Caenorhabditis elegans: one gene and its partners. The protein of the gene in region 4 purifies or fractionates together with the protein of the main gene of each other region. This does not show direct contact. Each region holds a gene or a part of one and is shown on either strand. Other genes may lie near its edges. The genes, in order: lsm-4, lsm-5, snr-7 and sart-3.

Region 1 (4,367 bases), on a different chromosome or scaffold from region 4:
AGCATTCTTGAGAGTGGTCTCGCCTGAAAAATAAAATAATAATAAGAATTTCAAACGGTATTTATGAATTTTCAATAGGACAAAGTTGTCATGTTTTTTTCTAAAGAAAATTGTTCATTTTAAATTGATTTTAATATAAATAAAAATTTTAATACCGTTTTTCTGAAGATCCTGAAGTACTTCGATCCGTTCCACTACATTATCGATACGTTCAATGGATGCTCGTAGGCTACGATACTCGTCTCTAGTCAGGAATTGTTGAGTCATTGCCAATAGCTTCTCCTTTTCAGTACGTGAATCCATTATCTCCTGCTGGCTCACTGGACGTTTGGCTGCTGCGTAGCATGCTTCTTGGTAGAATTTCATGAATTCATTTATCTTGTCATGTTCAAGCACAGTATTTCGTTTAGCCTTCCGAATTCCGAGTAGACGAACGTAATGTCTCAAACGGGCGAACTTAATATCATTTTCCATATCGAGTCTCTGATCTTTCTGAGGTTCCGTAGCAGATATTGTGAGGCGACTGATAAGTTGTTCAGCTTCATTGAACCATTCACACTCCAATTCTTCACGTTCGTTATTGTATCCAAGAATTTTCAACTCATCACTTCTTCTCATTTTTGGACGAGTTTCCGACTTTGATACACCACTTTCATGAAGTAGACGAGGATATGCACTTCTGAGCTCTTTAACTTCTTCTAAAGAACAAATTGCGCCGAGAGTTTCTAACTTTTTTTCTCCTTGTTTCTGCTCACGGTTCATCTTTTTACGGAATTCATGCAATCTTCTATCTTTTTTCGAAACCCACATCCTCCTTCGCTTTCGTCTCTTTGAGCTCGAAGCTGTTCCTCTCTTTGGTTTTTTCTCTTCTTCTTCATCTTCTGTATCAAATTCCTGTGCAGTCTCAAAAGCGCTTGGAGGATCTTCTTCTTCTGTTTCGCGTTCCATGCCGTGGTAGGTGTCTTTATCAGAAGCTTGACTTTTCTGGAAAAAATACACATAAAACTGAATTTAGTTATTTTCCTTAAACTCACATCATCGTCCGAATCACTGCTTGATTCTCTCATAACTCGAGTAGTTTTTCTTCTCTTTGGACTCGGAGGCCCCTTTTTCCGACAACTGGAAGACGGGCCCGGCGAATTGTCATTATCACTATCATCAGTATTTATTTCCTGTTTTACTGATCGCTTCGATTTCATATCTCTTTCATTATCAGGATCACAGTCATCTGGGCTAAGCTCCGTCTCATATTGATTTGTAAGGAATTTTGGGCGCTCATACTTGGTTTCAATGTCACCATCGATTACTCTGAAGAAATTCTAAATATATGAAAAATAGGACATTTTCACTTACTTTTGCACATACTGCTCTAATACTTGTTGCACTTTTATCGCAAGTTTCGGATCGTTTTCATCCCAGCTTTCTCCAGATGCACGAACGGCGTCTCGAATCAGAAGCATTCTTTCCGTTGATTCCAAACAGTTTTTTTGTAGCACACTGTCTAATGTTTGATTTATATACATCCCATATTTAATTCGATCCCAACTTGAACTTTTTATGGAAAATTGTCCAATCCATCCACGCACGAAATGTTTTTCAAAGTAATCCTTGCAATTATGACCATCTTTTCTTCCGCGACCAATACTTTCAGCTATTTCTCCCCAATTTCCCATCTTGAATTTATGAGCAGCTTTTAACAATTCGAATTCATCTTCGTGTGTCCAGCTCATTGCTTCGGGATTACTTGTTGGCTTGACAAGCTCGTAATTGTGACCTCGGCGATGTGGTGGTGATTCCGCGCCGCATTGGAAACACTGAAATTTTAAAAATAAAATAATGTTCTTAAAAACTTCACAATCTGTCAACTCACGAGGATACAAATTCGCAGAGGACATTCAAAGCATTTGACATGAATGGTTTGGTCGACTCGTAATGTGCAGTTGAAGCATACCGGATGTTCTCCGGTATCATCAGCCATTGAACCTATAAATATTAAAATTCCTCAAATCATGTTTTAAAATAAAACTAATAATCTTGAGATGAAAACAAAGAAAAATCGATTGCAGAGGTGAACCCTGTTTTCAAATGATCATCCACCAACGACCCTCCGAAATGACGCATGGTCGCCTTGTTTAACGTAAATATTGTGTGCATTAAAATCTTTTTTTATCGGAATTTTTTGTTTCGAATTGTCTTTTCGCCGTAATTTCAGTTTAAAATCTTAATTTATTCTTTGCAGATTGTCTCACTTTAAGTTTTACTAGTGAAAAACAATCACAACCCCACTAAATCAATATAGTCATGGTGGTAAGTCGAATTAAGCTGAACTCAAATAGTGTATGATTTCAGTTGCCACTTTCTCTTCTCAAAACCGCTCAAAACCACCCGATGCTTGTGGAGTTGAAGAACGGCGAGACTTATAACGGTCACCTGAAAGCCTGCGATTCGTGGATGAATATTCATTTGGTGGATGTTATTTTCACATCAAAAGTAAGTGTTTCGTTTAATTAAATGGTTAGCCCAGGAGAAACTGGCTATTCAGAAATTTCTTTTCGTTATTATTGAAAAAAAACATAATTTTGTTTTAAACGGCTCACAGATTCTAATTTAGAAAGAACCTTTCATATTTAATTTGCATTCATATGTCAGCTCAATATTTCAAACATCTAAAACTCTCGGATTGATGCAAATTTGCGACTAACAATACATGTTAAATTACAGGACGGTGACAAGTTCTTCAAAATGTCAGAAGCGTATGTCCGGGGATCTACTATCAAGTATCTCAGAATTCCAGAAACAGTAAGTACCTGATTTTCTCTTCGACAACATAACATTTCCCATTCTTCCAGGTGGTCGATCTCGTGAAAACTGAAGTCAACGAAGTTCGTCGTCAACAGCAGCGCGAGCAATCCCGTGGTCGTGGTGGTGGACGAGGAGGACGTGGAGGACACCGCGGAGGTGGTGGAAACCGAGGCGGACGCGGAGGAGCTCGATAATTCCTGCAGTGCTTCGATTGCTGATAACAATTTCTCGTTTACTCTAAATAATTTATGTATTTGAAATTATTTTTTTACCCAAAAACCAAACCTTCCTCCGTCTCTTCTGATCTTCCCCAAGTCGGGTTGTTTCACATGTTTTGAAATTTTATTACAATAAATTGAATTATACTTCAACAATATCTTAAGATCTTTCATCTGTCCTCCCACTCTTTTACTAGACTACAATGTAGTCTAGTATGGGACGTTGTCCTTATCAACCGCCCGCTGCAGTCATTGATTGTAGTCCACAATGTGACTAACGGCAATTTCATAGTTGCCATTTCTTTTATTTTTTCTTGAATTTAATCCATTTTTCAAAATCGAATAACGACATTCCATTTATTATTACAGATAAATTATAATGTCCGCACCTCCAACAAATCAACCACCTCCGCTGCCGCCAAGGTCATTTGATGTAATTATTGATAAATTGTTTTGAAACTCCTACTAATCGATAATATTTAAGAATCAAATGTCGAATCCAATGATCAATACAGGTTTTGGTTATGGTGGAGGATATGGAATGAATACGTTTCCAGGGTCTGGAATGTAAGTTTTATTTTTTAAATATTTTTTTTTTTTTTGAATGCTCTTTCGTAAATGCTAAAATGTCTGCGCCTTTAAAGAGTACTGTAGTTTCAAACTTTCGTCGCTGCCTTATTTTCATGGATTTTTCGTAGTTTTTCCGATAAATTAATTTTAAATTCAAGTATACTAATAAAAAAGAGAGAAGAAGCATGAAAAAACGATGAAAGTCCCTCAGCAACGAGAGTTTGCTGTTACAGTACTATTTAAAGGCGCACACCTTTTCATATTTAAGAAAAATGTGTCGTTTCGAGACCGGGTACCGTATCCTTGACGCAAAATCGTAAAATATCATGTCTGGGTAATTTACCGAATAAAGTCAGTACCGAAATGATAGAGAATGGGTTACTGTATAACTCAAAGGGGCCTACGTTTCGCGCAGCCTCGATTTGAAAATATTTTGTATTAATAAAATTGTATATTGTTTAGGTATGGTGGTGGGGGAATGTATGGAGGAGGAATGGGTTACGGTGGATTTGGTGGTGGCTTCAACCATATGGGATATGGTCAAGGACCTGACAGCAATTTTGCTCGACTTGCAGAAGAACAGTCTCGAGGCGCTTTTCAATCAATCGAATCAGTTGTAAATGCAGTCTCATCTGTCGCCAACATGCTCAATTCAACTCATAATGCAGTTTATAGTTCTTTTCGAGCAGTTATTGGAGTTGTAGAGCAATTTGGAAGATTAAAGACGCAGGTGAGTTTTTTATTGAAAAAAACAAATCTGATAATAATTATTCTATT
Region 2 (3,852 bases), on a different chromosome or scaffold from region 4:
CTTACAGCTTCATCGAATCCAAATCTTCAACGATTTCGACGACAGTCGCTTCATTTGATGTCACGGATAGGGAATAAGAGTCGCGGAGAGCTATTTGAGACATTACTTTCTTCTGAAATTACAAAATTCAATGAGAAATTGCGGAAAAAAACAGCGGAACGGTAAAAAAACACATCGTTGTTTTATTGCTCAGCTTAAAAATTTTAGGTTTGATTGGCTGGACACGCCCACTTTTTGAAATTTGCGAGAAACCAGGCAATAAATAATTAATTAATGATTTTTCCTCAACAAAATAACAAGTTTAATGATAAATTATATCCCAAAACGGCGAAAGGCGCTTTAAAAACATTTCGAAAAAAAAAACAAATTTGGTTGCGCGTCAGTTATGATACATTATACGCATTTACGTATTCTGGGAAATACAGTACTATCGGGAAACTTTTTTGATTTTTTGGAAAAAATTGGCAGAAAACTTAAAATAAATACAGTTCAACTTAAGAATTTTGTCATTTAACAGGACAAATTAAGGTTGCTATCAAACACGATAAGTATTTTCACTTTTTCACGTATTTTGGGCGATTCTGCGATTATTTTTGTATTTTCAGCTCGAGCAGAATTCGAAAAATTATTTCCAGGGACGATCTGAACAATTAAGCCTTTTTAGAGCATCAGAAAGCTGCTATCTATTCTCAACACGTGCTGAATATGATCCTACAAGACCTGCAAGATGTACAAGTACTTGTTAAGTGATAAGAAAAAAAAGAGAAAAATGCTGAAAAAACAGATTTAAAAAAAATTGTTTTCTTTTTGCTTCTTCATTCTGTTTTGTTCCTGTTATAAAATTTTCCAAAATTTCCTTCAATTTTTATTTCAAAATCGGAGAGATTCGTGGCAAAATAGAAAGTATTAGAAAATCACAATATTCACAGATATCAATTAAATCTCTGGTCCTTCTCCTCCCGGCACGAGCATCGTGATGTGATTTCCGTTGAGAAGAATCGTGTCCAACTTGGTCATTCGCTTGCCGTCGGCGGTGTTCTCGTATTCGACGACGTCCTCCAGAACCATGTTCACGTAGTCATCGAAGCCTGTCAGAGTGCCGACGATCTCCTTGTCGTTCTTCATTATCACCCAGATTTTCGAGCCGATGCACTTGTCAATGAGCTCCAGTGGGAGAAGTGTGTTTGGGTTGGTGGATGTTGAGGTTGCCATGGTTTCTGGAAAGAAAATCGGGTAAAATTTGAGAGGAATTGCTGAAAAACAGGAAAAATGAGGGGAAAAGATGATATTTATCAAGTTTTTTTAAAATTTTTCCTCACAAAAATTTTTTCAAAGCCTATTTTTCCAGAATTTTTGATGTTTTCTCGCTGAATTCACCGGTAATTTGCACATAAATTTCATTTTCAGTAAAATTCGTGTTAATTTCCAATCGATTTTAGAAAATTTTGATGAAAAGTCGTTTCTACAAGAATTTTGCTGGAATAATCGAAAATCATATGAAAAATACAGTTAAAACAATACCATTAATGCAATTTTAAAATATTTTAACAATAAAAACTCACAAAATTCCAAGAAAATCGAGGGAAAACGAAGAAAATCCAACAAAAAAATGTTTTCGATTTTAAAAAAATGTGTGTCGATTTACGGTAAGCAAGGCGACTATGCGTCATTTCGGAGTGTCGTTGTACACTTTTGGAGGGAATTTTGAATTTTAAAGCTATTTATTCAGAGAAAATCGCAATTTCTGTACAAGTCTCACAATTAAATACATGGCAAATACACGGAAGAGTACATAAAAACCCGGTTAAATATGTCACTATTACAATTATAGCGGTTAGACCGTAAAAAGCAAGGAAATCCCAGCGAAAAGGCAACTTAAAATATAGGAAATATGTTCAACCCGATTTTAATTGTCGACAGCTTCTGTGAAGTGAGACTTGACAGTTCCGAGACCCAACAGCTCTTTGGAAATCTTTTGGATTTCGAATTTCTTGACTTTTCCGGAAATTGTGAGAGGGAATTCGGACTCCTTTTTGATGAGCACGTACTTTGGAACCTTGTAGTGAGCCATCTGGAAATTTCGACTGTATATTTTAAAATAATGGATTAATAACTTACTCCTCTCTTACAAGCCTTCTTAATGTGCTCCGCGGTGATCTTTCCTTCATCCTCAACGCGAAGACGCACCCAGGCGCAGATGTTCTCTCCGTACCTGTCATCTGGCACACCGACGACCTGGAATTTTTTTGTTGAAAAGTTAGGCCATAAGTTTGAAGTTCAGGCCATAAGTAGTCATGGTGCCCTTGATTTAAACGAGAATAACTCGCCAGTTGTTACAAGTATCAAAAAGTTGCCAACTGAGTAAATGTAGAGAATTTTCTGTAGATTATTTTAATAAACTTTTTGATATTTTAATAAACTTTTTGATTGGACCCCCAAGAGCAAAGATAGAAGCTCCCAAACTTACATGAGCATCAGCGACATAGTCCAACTTATGCAAGAACTGCTCGATTTCGGTCGGATAGACGTTCTCACCACCCTTCACAATCATGTCACGAGTTCTACCGACAATATTGATAGTTCCATCCTCGTTCATCGTGGCGGTATCTCCAGATTTGTACCAGCGATCACGTGTAATTGCCAAGTTGGTCTTGTCGTGGTCGGCCCAGTAGCCGAGCATAGTCGAGTAGCCACGAGACCAGAGCTCTCCTTTAGCTCCAGTTGGCACGGGGACTCCAAATTCATCGACAATGGCGAGTTCTTGATGTGGCATCACTGACCCGACGGACTTGATTCGCTCGAATGGATCCACGTGGAGTTCCGACATGGTGACTAGAGGGGATCTGAATTCAGCTGTAAGATGGCATTTCGACAAAGAAGAACTTACGTCTCGGTAGATCCATAGATCACTGAAAAATCAGTCATTCTCATCTCCTTCACCATCTTCTCGCACAAAGCCATCGGACATGGGGCTCCTCCGATAACACCCCCTCGAAGGGATGAGATGTCGAATTGCTTCATAAGTGGAGACTTGAGCACGTCAATAAACATGGTCGGTGTGCCGAACATCGTGGTGCATTTCTCATTTTGAATAGCCTCGAAGATATCCGGAACATGGTAGGACTTTGATGGGAAGACCACAGTTTGTCCATGATTGACCGCGTTGATCACTCCGACCGCACATCCGAAGCAATGGTAAAGAGGGTTTGGGATACAGATTCTGTGATCCTCTCTATCCCATCCAAGGCGAATTCCTGCGAAATATGCGTTGTTGTTCAGCCCGAAATGGGTCAGAGTTGCTCCTTTTGGATGACCAGTGGTTCCACTTGTGAATTGCATGTTTACTGGCTCATCCGGTCGAAGTTTGCGATCCATGTCTTCCAGCTTTGCGCGTTCTGCACTTCCAGCAGCATGGATTAAGTCAGAGTAGACCCAGGCTCCGTGGACGGGGACGTCATCTCCGTAGAGCACAATGTGGCGGAGCTCTGGGATGTCATGGGATTTGATGTGTCCAACTCCTGGCTGGCCACGTCGCATTTCTGGCATTGCCTGGAAGAGTTTTTTAGACTAGAACGTGCAATTTATGATCTACACTTACCTCAAGCATTGTGTGAACATAGTTGCTGTGCTTGTGTCTCTTTGGTGCAAAGAGCACCTTCATTCCAGTTTTTCTCATCACAAAACGAAGTTCTTCGTGGAGGTAGTGAGGATTGACATTGACCTGAATGACTCCTGCAAATGCACATGCATACTGGAGAACCACCCATTCGTAGTAGTTTGGTCCCCAGACTCCGACACGATCTCCCTTCTCGAGACCGAGAGTGTAGAGCGAGGCTGCCATTTGACGGACCT
Region 3 (4,121 bases), on a different chromosome or scaffold from region 4:
TTTTCTGAAGCTTTTGAAATTATTCGACTTGAAAAAAGGTGATTTTTCCTAATTATCACTGAAAAGCGTTCAATTTTCAAAAGAGAACATCGATAATTTTCGGTTTTTCTCAGCAAAATGTGAAATCGAAGTAGAAAACTCTTGTTCAAATCCAGATCAGGTTTGGGGATTGGCGCCAATTTTTCAAAATGACCTATTGTGACATGTTGATTCATTTAAAATTGATGTGAAATTATAGAAAATCACTTGATTTATCTAAAACAAACATTTATTTCAGTCGAAACACTTGAGGAAGAGCTCAAAAATGGCCTGAAATTAGCAAATTCAGGCTATTTTTCAGCATTTTCTCGCATGTTTCAACTGAAATGGGTGTTATTTTCAGATAAATCGTCTGATTTCTATATTTTGGCGAGAAATCAAGCGAATTCACTGAATTCCGGCTGAGAATCTGCCGCGTTTTGAAAATTGATATTTCAACTCTTCGACGGCTGCAGCCACAAGAGTACGGAAAGATGAGAAAGCACATCTCGTACAGCTTTCGGATGATGATAGGCGTGTGTGTGGAACATTTTTCTGTTTTGAAAGAAGAAAATAGGTCGGCAGAAAAAGAGATAAGAAGTGGGGAAAGAGTATTCTTTTTTGCTGCTGTTGTGCCGAGTAAGAGTAACGAGAAGAATAAAGAGAGAAAAATGTGGAGAGCGTCGTCGACCGCACATAGTGGAAAGAGAAGAGGGATACACAAGTCTCTCCGTGTTTTTGTTACTCTGTTTCGTGCCTCTCTTCAAAATGAACACTATTTCGTTCAATTTGAGCCGTGGAAAAACAAAATGCTGAAAAAAAGCTTTACGATTGATTTTTTTTATGCCTGCAATAATAAAACATAACTTTTGGTACATTTGTTTGTGAATTGATTCTATTTGCGAAGTTCTTATCTATACGAAATTCACGTGAATCAGAGATGAGAAGTGGGTTTTGACCACGTAGTTATCAAAAATTATCAAAAAAAAGGTTCAAAAATTTAATATCAAAATTTGAAAATGAAAACATTGAGAAAGTGACAGGAAATTGTGGAGATCGAAAAATCTAGGAGATTCTCTCCTTGGGCTCCATGATGACGACGGAGTTTCCGCGAATGACAGTCATGCCGAGGTTGACGGATCCTCCGTCCTTTTGGTACTCGACAGCTTCCTGCAATATTAAATTTTAGAATAAATTAGACAAAAACGGAAAAAGAAACATACGTCGATGACCATGTTCATGAATGGATCGAAACCGCGGAGGATTCCAGAGACGCGACGGTTTCCGTTGAGCTTCAAGTCCATCTCCTTGTCCATGTACTTTTTGAGCTCTGGTGGATGTGTCTTACTCATTTTTCTGAAAAATTGAGAATTTGCAGGGGGAAATGAAAATGAAGAATGGAAAAATCATCAAAGAAACAGATTTTACTTAAAATAGAAAATAAAGCTCATTTTTCAACTTCCACCTATCGAAAATTCAGATAATACATTAATTATAACATTTTTTAACTAATTTTTCAAAGAATAAACATGATAATTATCAGGAAAATTGGATGAAAAAGGCTAAAATCGACGAAATTATTTTTCGAAATTCGAATAGTACGCAAACACCACGCTTGGTACACCATAAATGACGACAAGTTGCAGACGCTTGCACACCGTACTCACACAATTCTTATCGGATTTCCGAGCTTTTTCTTTTCGTTTTTCCAATTTTAGATGGTAAAAAAGAAGAGTAACTATCATATTCTCGTCGCACAAAATTTCTTATCAAATATCAGTGTTGATGGAAGCCACAATGACACAAATCTTCGAATTTTCCAAACAAAAGGCCTTCCGAAGGTGAGAATCTTGGTTTTTCAGCGATTTTCGTAACTAATTGATAATTTTTTCAGATATCTCCAACGGAAAAGAAGTTTTCAAACGGCGCAAGCTCCACAACCACCATCCGCAACAATGAATCAGTGATCTCACTCGGAACATCCGCTTCACTCGGAGAACGGCTAAGCTCGTCGAATTTGCCGCAGGAATACGCGGAGACACCACAGAAAAAGTGAAAATTAGTTGAAAATCAATATAATTAATTAATTTTCTCTATTTATAGAACTTCAATCTTCCGAAGAATCGCGAAAATCATGAGCTCCGACGACGTGATCTATTCAATGACCGCCACAAACAGTAGATCTCCGATTCTTGAAGAAGGCGTCGGGAGAGAAGATAGTGGGCTGATTGGTGAGCTGGCGAGCTTATAAAAGCTTACAAAACTTGAAATAAAATAAATTAATTCAAAATTTTCACAGAATTTCGCTCAGAATCACCATCTTGTTCTTCAAATCAGTTCAGTTTTCTGAGAAGGCTCAAAAGCACCATTACCCATGCAGATAGGTGAGTTCAACCATCATAAAATCCTCTAAAATCCCCCACACTAACCGTTCCGTGTTGCGAACTAACCCACATTTTCAGATTTTACATCTGCACCTCGACGAATGGCCAGCCTCTGGCAGTTTTCTCGTATATCTCGCCGAACAGCGACTACGTGGATCCGCTGGCGCCGATTTTCGCCAACACAACCGTCAATAAGAAGAAATTCCGATCGAAATCGATTTTTGGAAGGTTTAGAATTAACATCTCCTCTATAATTTATATCTTCTACCTAATTTTCCCCGAAAACTGGCAATTATCTAACAAAATTTCACAAAAAAAGCGCAGGAATTCAGAAATTTCGGCTATGCGATCTTAAAGGCACATGGGTTTATTCAGCTGTGCATCGACGCGAAAAGACAGCATGTGGTAGTTTTTTTTGTTAAATTTTTCAGTTTTCAGACCGAAAAAAAGGAAAACAACGCAAATTTTCAGCAGAAAGTAAGAAAAAACGCTGCAATTTGCTAAAAATCCGTGCGCCTTTAGGTCAAAATCTTGAAAAAATACGATAAATTCCCATAATTTCACCTTATAATCCAATTTTCCAGCTCGGATCGCATGCGGCATCAGGCTCACTTATCAACAGAAGAGCTGCGGCCATTTGTCTTCCGAGACGCTGAAGATCAAGTAATTCTGGGGCAGATTCGCCGAAAGCGGAATCCTTCGCCGTTTTTCACGCTGTTCGACAAGTCGCCCGCCTCGATTTCCAGGAAAGAGCGGAGGGTGAGGCTTTGAATTTTGAATTTTAAGATTCAAAATCCGCGGAAAAAAGGCGAATTTTAGCTAAAATCTTCAATTTTACCGAGTTTTTCGTGTCGTAGCAGGCGAAAATTCGTATTTTTGCAAATTTTGCTCGTTTATTTCACTTTATATCGTTGATTTTCGTACTGTTTAAAGATGGAGTAGCGCCAGTGAGGAAATTGCTTTAAAACATGCCTATGGGGCCACAATGGCCGAATATCATGATAAAAAATTTTTGAAAAATGTTCTAAATTTTACATGATTTTTTGAAAATTGAAAAAATCTCAGTTTTTGCCTAATTCCTATTCGAATTTCCGCCAATTGGATTTGTTCGATTGAGCGCGCTTGCACGTTTTTAAATTTATTTATTTTATTTTTTGTTATTTTCCACCGATTTTTAATGTTTTCGGTGTATTTTTGCTCGAATATTAGAGAAAAAGTCAAAATGATTGCAAATTTTCAATTAAAAAGCACTCTTACAGGCGTAAATCAGTGAAATCAATTAATTCAGGTTCGAAATCGTTTAAAAGCGTTACTTTTTGATTTTTACGCCTGTTTGCTTTTTAATCAAAAATTTGCATTTATTTTGACTTTTTCTCTAAAATTCCACCAAAAATACACCGAAAACATTAAAAATCGGTGGAAAATAACAAAAAATAAAATAAATTAATTTAAAAACGTGCAAGCGCGCTCCATCGAACAAATCCAAATGGCGGTAATTCAAATAGGAATTAGGGGAAAACTGAGATTTTTTCAATTTTCAAAAAATCATATAAAATTTAGAACATTTTTCTGAATTTTTTATCATGATATTCGGTCATTGTGGTACCATAGGCGTGTTTTAAAGCTATTTCCCCACTGGCGCTACTCCACCGTTAAGGTCTGTAATAATGGATTTATGAAACTTAAAAACTGGCAAAATTGAAGATTTTCACTAAAATA
Region 4 (7,158 bases):
AAGGATTCAAACTTGAACTGATGCCACATCAAAAGGCAGGCCTAACCTGGATGCGTTGGAGAGAAACTCAACCACAGCCTGGTGGAATTCTTGCGGATGATATGGGTTTAGGAAAGACGCTTTCGATGATTTCTCTCATCGCCCATCAAAAAGCTGCTCGTAGAGCTCGCAGAGAAGATGGAAATGACGATAAAGACAAAGAAAAACGTAAAGTGGTAAAAGAGCAAGGACTAATTCCGTCGAATGGAACATTGATTGTTGCTCCTGCAAGTTTGATTCATCAATGGGATGCTGAAATCGATAGAAGACTAGATGACAGCGTTCTATCGACATACATGTTTCATGGCACAAAAAAGCAGAGGGACATCGATGCAAGACGTCTTGCTCGATACGATGTCGTCATCACCACGTTCAATCTTATCGCAAATGAATTAATCGAAAAAATAAGGACTAAATCAAAAGCAGATGATTCATCTGACGGTGAATCGGATTCAAATCATACTGGAATTCGTAGAGCAGTTGGAAAAGACGACTCCGTTCTTGCTCAGATCTGTTGGTCTCGAGTCATTCTTGACGAGGCGCATACCATCAAAAATCGGCAGTCTCTTGCTTCGAAAGCTGTCTGTCGTTTATCAGCATTCTCTCGATGGTGCCTTTCTGGAACTCCGATCCATAACAATCTCTGGGATCTTTACAGTCTCGTTCGATTCTTGCGTATTCGTCCATTCAGTGACGATAAATATTGGAAAGAATCGATCATGCCAATGAAACCAATAATGGCTGATCGCGTAAATTTGCTCACAAAGAACCTGCTTCTTCGTCGTACAAAGGATCAAACATGTGCTGTGACAAACCAGAAACTAGTTCAGTTACCACCGAAAAATGTAGAAGTCCACGAATTGGAGTTGGACGGAGATGAAGCACAGGCTTATGAGATTATGATGGAGGCTGCCAAGTGAGTGACTCACTTGTAACATTGGCGAAAATCATAAAACAAATTTTCAGAAAATTCGTCAAAAAACTTCTGCAAGATTCCAATGATATGAAAAATCATGGATTTATTCCTCGTCGCAATAGAAGAGCAGGAAAGGAAGGAGAAGTTCAGAATCCTTTCAATTGTAAGAATCTGTGATGTTTAAAAAATTAATATTGAATATTTTCAGTTGGTCCACGTGATTTGGCAGCCGGCTCGAACTTCGAAAAGATGTCATGTGTTTTGATGCTTCTTCTTCGTCTTCGACAAGCTTGTGTTCATTTCAATATCACAAAAACAGGAGTCGACATGGACGCTTTCAGCTTAATCGGTGGAGACAATGCGGAGGAAGCGAATGTGGACGATTTGAATGAGTTACTGGAGAAAACTATGAACATGACGTTGGGAAATGGTGACAATGAAGAAAGAGACAAACCGAGGGCTACAACACGAATTTTCGATCCGGACTACCTGAGCTGTAAAATTAAAAATACACTTGAAATTGTTGAGAACATTATGGAGAAGAAAGAGAAAGTGTATGTTTTCACCAAGTTGAAAATAAATTCAAATTTATGTTTTTCAGTGTCATTGTTTCTCAATGGACATCGGTTCTCAATTTGATCGAAATTCACATAAAATCAAGTGGTTTCAAATATACATCAATTACCGGACAAGTTCTGGTCAAGGATCGTCAAGAGAGAGTGGACAGCTTTAATCGGGAGAAAGGTGGTGCTCGAGTTATGCTTCTCTCTCTGGCCGCGGGAGGTGTTGGGCTCAATCTGACAGGTGGAAATCATTTAGTGATGGTGGATTTGCATTGGAATCCGGCTCTCGAACAGCAAGCTTTCGATAGAATTTATCGAATGGGGCAGAAGAAGGATGTTTTCATTCATAGGTTCGTTGATTGCGGCAAGAAAATTAAATTCATAATATGTGTGTTAATCTTGCAGATTGGTTACGAAAGGAACGATCGAACAACGAGTTGTAATGCTGCAAAAGGACAAAGTCGCGCTAGCTTCGTCTGTTCTCGACGGAAATGCTACTCGCAAGATGAACAAATTGACGACGGCAGATATCAAGATGCTGTTCGGATTGAATGAAAAATAATCTTCAAAACTATTATTCCAGCCTTTATGTACAATATTATCATTCCTCACCCGCACACATTTCATTTCTGTTGTAAATATTCATTCAGCTTATGGATTGCAAAATTTTATTTATTGCATAAGTATTACCCGTGATTATTTCTATAAAGCTTGCATGGATTTGAATTTTTTGTTGTTTTTTTATCAGTTTGATTCTGGCTAACTATATTTTAATACGGAGAGAAAATATTTTTTCTTCTAAAAAATCCGTTTCTTTCGCGCTCTATCGCACTTTTGCATTCGAAACGTTATTTCCGTGCTTTTTCTGCACTGTTTCTCTCTTATTTTAATATTTATTGTTTTTGTATCAGTTTCCATCAAAATTCTGCAAGATGTCCGATGTGGATATGGAATCCGGCTCGGATGATTCCGGAATGGAGGATCTGGATGAAGAAATTCAAAAAATCAAGCAAAAGGTATGAACTAATTATCGAATATACTTCATATACACAAAATACAATTTCAGATGATCGACGATAGTCAAAGTGTCGTTCTTGCAAACCAATTATTGATTTTATTGCGAAAAAATGGTGACTTCGACGAGCTTGATATCAAAAGGAGGCAATTTGTCGAATGGGCCCCACTTAATCCATTAAATTGGAAAAACTGGATTGAGTAAGTTAAAAAAAATAGGTTAATTATAATTTTTTAAAAACTGATTTCAGAGATTTTCAAAACAGAAAACCGGAGCCAAGTGTCGCAGAAGTCGAGGAAATGTTTGAAAAAGCTCTGTTTGATGAGAACGATGTCACTATTTGGGTCGAAAGAGCAATGTACGCATATAAGGTTGCGAACGACAAAAACAAAAAAGAGGATTTCAAGTTTTGCCGAGATGTAAGTTTTGATTGAAAAATGTAATTATTATAATTTTACAGGTTTGTAGCAAAGCTCTTGAAAACCTTGGAACTCGGTACGATTCTGGAGGGCACATTTGGCTGATTTTTCTGGAATATGAAATGAGCTACCTGAAAAGTGAGCTTACTACTGTACTTTCATCAACAATTTATAATTTTCAGATTCTATGAATGCTCCTGACTATCAACGACTCGCTGATCAAGTTTTCGCTCTGTTCGAGAGAGCCCTTCATTGCCCAACAGATCAGCTCGAAGATGTTTATGTTTTAGCTGAACAATTCTGCACAGAATTCAAACAACATCATAAACTCGAAGAACTGAAAAAGACATATAATTCAACAATGCGACAGAAGGAACAATTGTCAAAGTTCGAGGAGCTCATTCAACAGGAAGAAACCAAAAAGCAAGGTCTGAAACAGTTTTTTGATCACGAGAAGAAGAGTGGAATTCCTAGTAGAATAAAAATGGCTCACGAGAGGCTTGTTTCTGAGTTGGACGATGACGAGGAAGCTTGGATTGCATATGGAGCATGGGCAGATATTGAACTTAAATTGCCACAGGTAAGGAAATACTTTTTATTATAGAATTATCGGAAATATCCAGAGGTCTGTCTAGAGATTATAATTATCTTTAAGATTCGAAAAAAATATTGTTGAATATTATTATTTTACTAAAGCTTCCATTGGATTATTGAATTATTTTGTTCAGGTTGCTGTAAAAGTGTACTCTCGAGCTCTGCGTCATTGTCCATACAGTTTTGTTCTCCATCAACAAGCTCTTCTCGCCTTCGAACGAGATCGTCGGCCAAATGAGGAAATTGATGCATTATGGGAACGAGCAAGAAGCAATGTTATCAAGTTAGTTTCTTTTTTGAATACATACAGTAGTCTTATATATTTATTCGGTGTAATTTCAGTTCTGCCGAAGAAGGACGGAGTCTTTACCGTACCTATGCTTTTTTGCTTCGCCGTCGAATTCATCTCACTGGTTCTTCGGATTACTCTCCAATGGCTGAAGTGTTTGATGAAGGTGCAGCGCTACTCAGAGAATGGTTTTCAATGGCTTGGGATACTACAGCAGATTATCGACAAATGCAAGCATATTTCTATGCTTCATTAATGAAGAACATGGACAAATGTCGAAATATCTGGAATGATATTCTTGCATCAGGATTCGGAAGATTTGCCGGAAAATGGATTGAAGCTGTTCGTCTTGAGCGACAATTCGGTGATAAAGAAAATGCTCGAAAATATCTAAACAAAGCTCTCAATTCTGTATCGGATAACATCAACGAAATCTATATGTACTATGTTCAATTTGAAAGAGAAGAAGGAACATTGGCTGAGTTGGATTTGGTTCTTGAGAAAGTGAATTCACAGGTTGCTCATCGAGCCATTCGACCACAAAAGAAAGTTTCTGAGAAACCAGCTCCAGCTCCTAAATCAAAGCAAGATCATATTCAGAAGAGAACGTCGGGAGGTGAACCAATTGTAAAAAAAGTGAAAGGAGACGACGGAGGTAAATAATTTTTAAAAGTAAAGAAGTTAATTTGAATTAAATTTTAGGATTCAAAGCTCCACTTCCACCATCCAATGCGAAAAGTTCATCAGCTGTATCCTCTTCAAATGCTTCGTCGACACCAGCTCCAGGTTCCTTTGCAGTTCAGAAAGCAGCTCCAGGAACGGAAGATGCTCGCACAATTTTTGTTTCTAATCTCGATTTCACTACGACGGAAGACGAAATTCGACAAGCCATTGAAGGTGTTGCTTCAATTCGATTCGCAAGAAAAGCGAATTCGGATCTTGTGCACAGAGGGTTCGCCTATGTTGTAATGGAGAATGATCAGAAGGCACAGCAAGCTCTCTTGAAAGATCGAGTTCCTGTGAAGGGAAGGCCAATGTTTGTAAGTTTTAATTTTACTTTATAAATATTTGTGAAATTTTAATTTCTGAAAATTCAGATCTCCGCCAACGATCCAGAAAAACGGGTTGGATTCAAATTCTCAACCACTCTTGAAAAATCGAAAGTCTTCGTTCGCAATGTCCACTTCCAGGCAACCGACGATGAGTTAAAGGTAATATATACTTATCTATCATTTTATATTCTAAATCGATACATTTCAGGCATTATTCTCGAAATTCGGTACAGTAACCAGTGTTCGACGCGTGACTCATAAAGATGGAAAACCAAAAGGAATCGCATTCGTAGATTTTGACACAGAAGCAAGTGCTCAAAAATGTGTTGCTTCTGGTGATAAATTGATGCTTCGAGAAAGAGAACTAGAGGTAGCGTTATCCAATCCACCAGTAAAAAAGGATAAATCGCATGGAAAACCAGCAGCAATTGGAGCAAGTTTGGAAGAAGATGGACCTAGAAAAGGACATGCTGCAAAACTGCAATTGGTTCCCAGAGCTATTAGTAAGTATATCATCTTTAGTTCCCAGCTTAGCATAAAAAAATCCATTTTCAGCAAACAAAACTCCTCAAATCACTGCTCGGCTGGACGCAATGGATGTTTCCGAAGGCACTTCAACGTCTCAGCCACTTTCAAATGATCAATTCCGTAAAATGTTTATGAAAAATTAGGGCCGTTTTTCACCAGAAACTTTCATTGTTCATATCAAGATTCATTTAGTTATTTAATTTCTATTACGTTCCCCAGTGTCTCCTTTCCAATTAAAATTCCGGTAGATGCTATTTTTGATGTTCTCGCTATAATTATATTTGTTCTTCACTACGAATTGCAAGATTTAGTTTCATAACTGTTCATAATCCTTGTTTTCTTTTTGTTTGCTAATAATTTGTAATAGAGATCCCCCAATATTCATTTTCAACTTATTGCCTATGGATAAGAAAATCTGAATTTTCAACAACTACTTTTATTATTCAATTTTTATCGGTATATTCGACCCCAAATTATTACTTTGTTTTGCTACTTTCGCTATTCAAAGAACTTAGGTATGCAATATTTTCAATTCAGATGTCATCTTCTGAGGGTAATTCTGACGCTTCTGCACCAGGAACACCAGTTAAATCGTAAGTAAATGGTAATTGTGTTTCTAAAATAATATAATTCAATTCAGATCAACTCCATCTTCTCGTGGATCGTCGCCAGATTCACCAAAAAAACAAGAACCGTCTAAGAAAAGAGCGATATTAAATGAGTCCGACGATGATGATGATTCTCGTCCTGCTCCTCGACAATTGTCCGATTCTTCTGACGATAACATTCATCCGAGAGGAGGAGGTGAAAAGAGTTCCCCCGGTGCTGGTGGTGGTTTGTTCGGTGATCTCTCTGGCTCTTCCGACGATGATTCCGACAGAGAAGGAAAGCCGAAAGAATCAAATACAAGAGCACGATTGTCAGATTCCGATGCGGAGAGTCGTGGAAGTTTGAATGATTTGCAAGGAATTGTGATGGCTAATCCAGATGAAATAGATGAAGATGAAAAAGCAAAGGAGCATGTTCATGATACTGAAGTAAACATTTTCAATGAAATAATGTGATTAAAACATTGATTTTCCAGATGGTAACAGGTCGTGTTACTTTGGAGTACGCTGCAGATCCACCACATTTTGTCAGAATGCCAAACTTTCTATCAGTCGCCACTCATCCATTTGATCCACAACATTACGAGGAAGACGAAGATGATGAGCAGGCGAAATTGGATGATGAAGGACGAACACGTCTCAAATTGAGAGTATGTCTGTGTTATAAATACATCTCATCAAATATACAATTTTTAAGGTGGAAAATACACTTCGCTGGCGAGTTCGCAAAGATGAAAATGGAAAAGAAATTCGAGAGAGTAATGCAAAAATTGTAAAATGGGACGATGGAACGTTAGTTTTCAATTGATGCAAAATTTCCATATCGTGACTTAATTTCAGAATGTCTCTATACCTCGGAAACGAAATTTTCGAAGTCTCATTGGTGCCGCTGAATTCCAATAATCTTCCCCATCTTTACGTTAAGCAGCCAACATTAATGGTATTTTGATTGTTAATGTTTTTATTTTAATCAAAATTTATGTCATTTTTAGTCGGCTCAAGCTGTTCTTACACATCGTATGACCTTCCGTCCTCACTCGACTGATTCCCAAACTCACAGAAAAGTCACACTCAATATGGCAGATCGAAGCAGGAAGAATGCTCAAGTTAAAGTCATGGACGATGTTGGTCAGAA

What was found.
Region 1: the proteins of sart-3 (region 4) and lsm-4 purify together in Caenorhabditis elegans (affinity purification with mass spectrometry, with the first as the bait; one study listed by BioGRID). This does not show direct contact.
Region 2: the proteins of sart-3 (region 4) and lsm-5 purify together in Caenorhabditis elegans (affinity purification with mass spectrometry, with the first as the bait; one study listed by BioGRID). This does not show direct contact.
Region 3: the proteins of sart-3 (region 4) and snr-7 purify together in Caenorhabditis elegans (affinity purification with mass spectrometry, with the first as the bait; one study listed by BioGRID). This does not show direct contact.

What each region holds. Positions count from the first base shown.
Region 1 is NC_003280.10:7,251,036-7,255,402, reverse strand, and holds lsm-4 (putative U6 snRNA-associated Sm-like protein LSm4), read left to right. Parts: upstream 1-2,239; 5' UTR 2,240-2,301; coding exon 2,302-2,307; intron 2,308-2,349; coding exon 2,350-2,490; intron 2,491-2,721; coding exon 2,722-2,799; intron 2,800-2,807; coding exon of another isoform or gene 2,808-2,841; exon of another isoform or gene 2,842-2,849; coding exon 2,850-2,996; 3' UTR 2,997-3,171; downstream 3,172-4,367. Other genes in the region: ada-2 (SANT domain-containing protein), read right to left, coding at 1-23, 156-698, 756-984, 1,035-1,308, 1,354-1,814, 1,871-1,983, 2,808-2,841; prx-13 (Peroxisomal membrane protein PEX13), read left to right, coding at 3,400-3,453, 3,505-3,587, 4,053-4,320. UniProt on the Caenorhabditis elegans protein: Plays a role in pre-mRNA splicing as component of the U4/U6-U5 tri-snRNP complex that is involved in spliceosome assembly, and as component of the precatalytic spliceosome (spliceosome B complex).
Region 2 is NC_003283.11:15,567,740-15,571,591, reverse strand, and holds lsm-5 (U6 snRNA-associated Sm-like protein LSm5), read right to left. Parts: upstream 1,213-3,852; coding exon 937-1,212; downstream 1-936. Other genes in the region: fbxa-95 (F-box domain-containing protein), read right to left, coding at 6-103; acs-2 (Medium-chain acyl-CoA ligase ACSF2, mitochondrial), read right to left, coding at 1,907-2,071, 2,119-2,235, 2,468-2,843, 2,888-3,549, 3,599-3,850.
Region 3 is NC_003279.8:2,724,267-2,728,387, reverse strand, and holds snr-7 (putative small nuclear ribonucleoprotein G), read right to left. Parts: upstream 1,375-4,121; 5' UTR 1,371-1,374; coding exon 1,242-1,370; intron 1,189-1,241; coding exon 1,084-1,188; 3' UTR 1,006-1,083; downstream 1-1,005. Other genes in the region: Y71F9B.6 (Cyclin N-terminal domain-containing protein), read left to right, coding at 1,737-1,859, 1,913-2,070, 2,122-2,249, 2,318-2,402, 2,481-2,630, 2,987-3,161. UniProt on the Caenorhabditis elegans protein: Plays a role in pre-mRNA splicing as a core component of the spliceosomal U1, U2, U4 and U5 small nuclear ribonucleoproteins (snRNPs), the building blocks of the spliceosome.
Region 4 is NC_003282.8:11,328,164-11,335,321, reverse strand, and holds sart-3 (Spliceosome associated factor 3, U4/U6 recycling protein), read left to right. Parts: upstream 1-2,429; 5' UTR 2,430-2,450; coding exon 2,451-2,534; intron 2,535-2,584; coding exon 2,585-2,733; intron 2,734-2,783; coding exon 2,784-2,952; intron 2,953-2,993; coding exon 2,994-3,090; intron 3,091-3,134; coding exon 3,135-3,532; intron 3,533-3,680; coding exon 3,681-3,829; intron 3,830-3,888; coding exon 3,889-4,490; intron 4,491-4,537; coding exon 4,538-4,875; intron 4,876-4,932; coding exon 4,933-5,046; intron 5,047-5,095; coding exon 5,096-5,390; intron 5,391-5,442; coding exon 5,443-5,558; 3' UTR 5,559-5,840; downstream 5,841-7,158. Other genes in the region: F54E12.2 (Transcription termination factor 2), read left to right, coding at 1-955, 1,006-1,118, 1,164-1,509, 1,557-1,868, 1,924-2,080; leo-1 (RNA polymerase-associated protein LEO1), read left to right, coding at 5,953-6,008, 6,056-6,452, 6,500-6,673, 6,721-6,815, 6,864-6,963, 7,016-7,158. UniProt on the Caenorhabditis elegans protein: U6 snRNP-binding protein that functions as a recycling factor of the splicing machinery. Promotes the initial reassembly of U4 and U6 snRNPs following their ejection from the spliceosome during its maturation.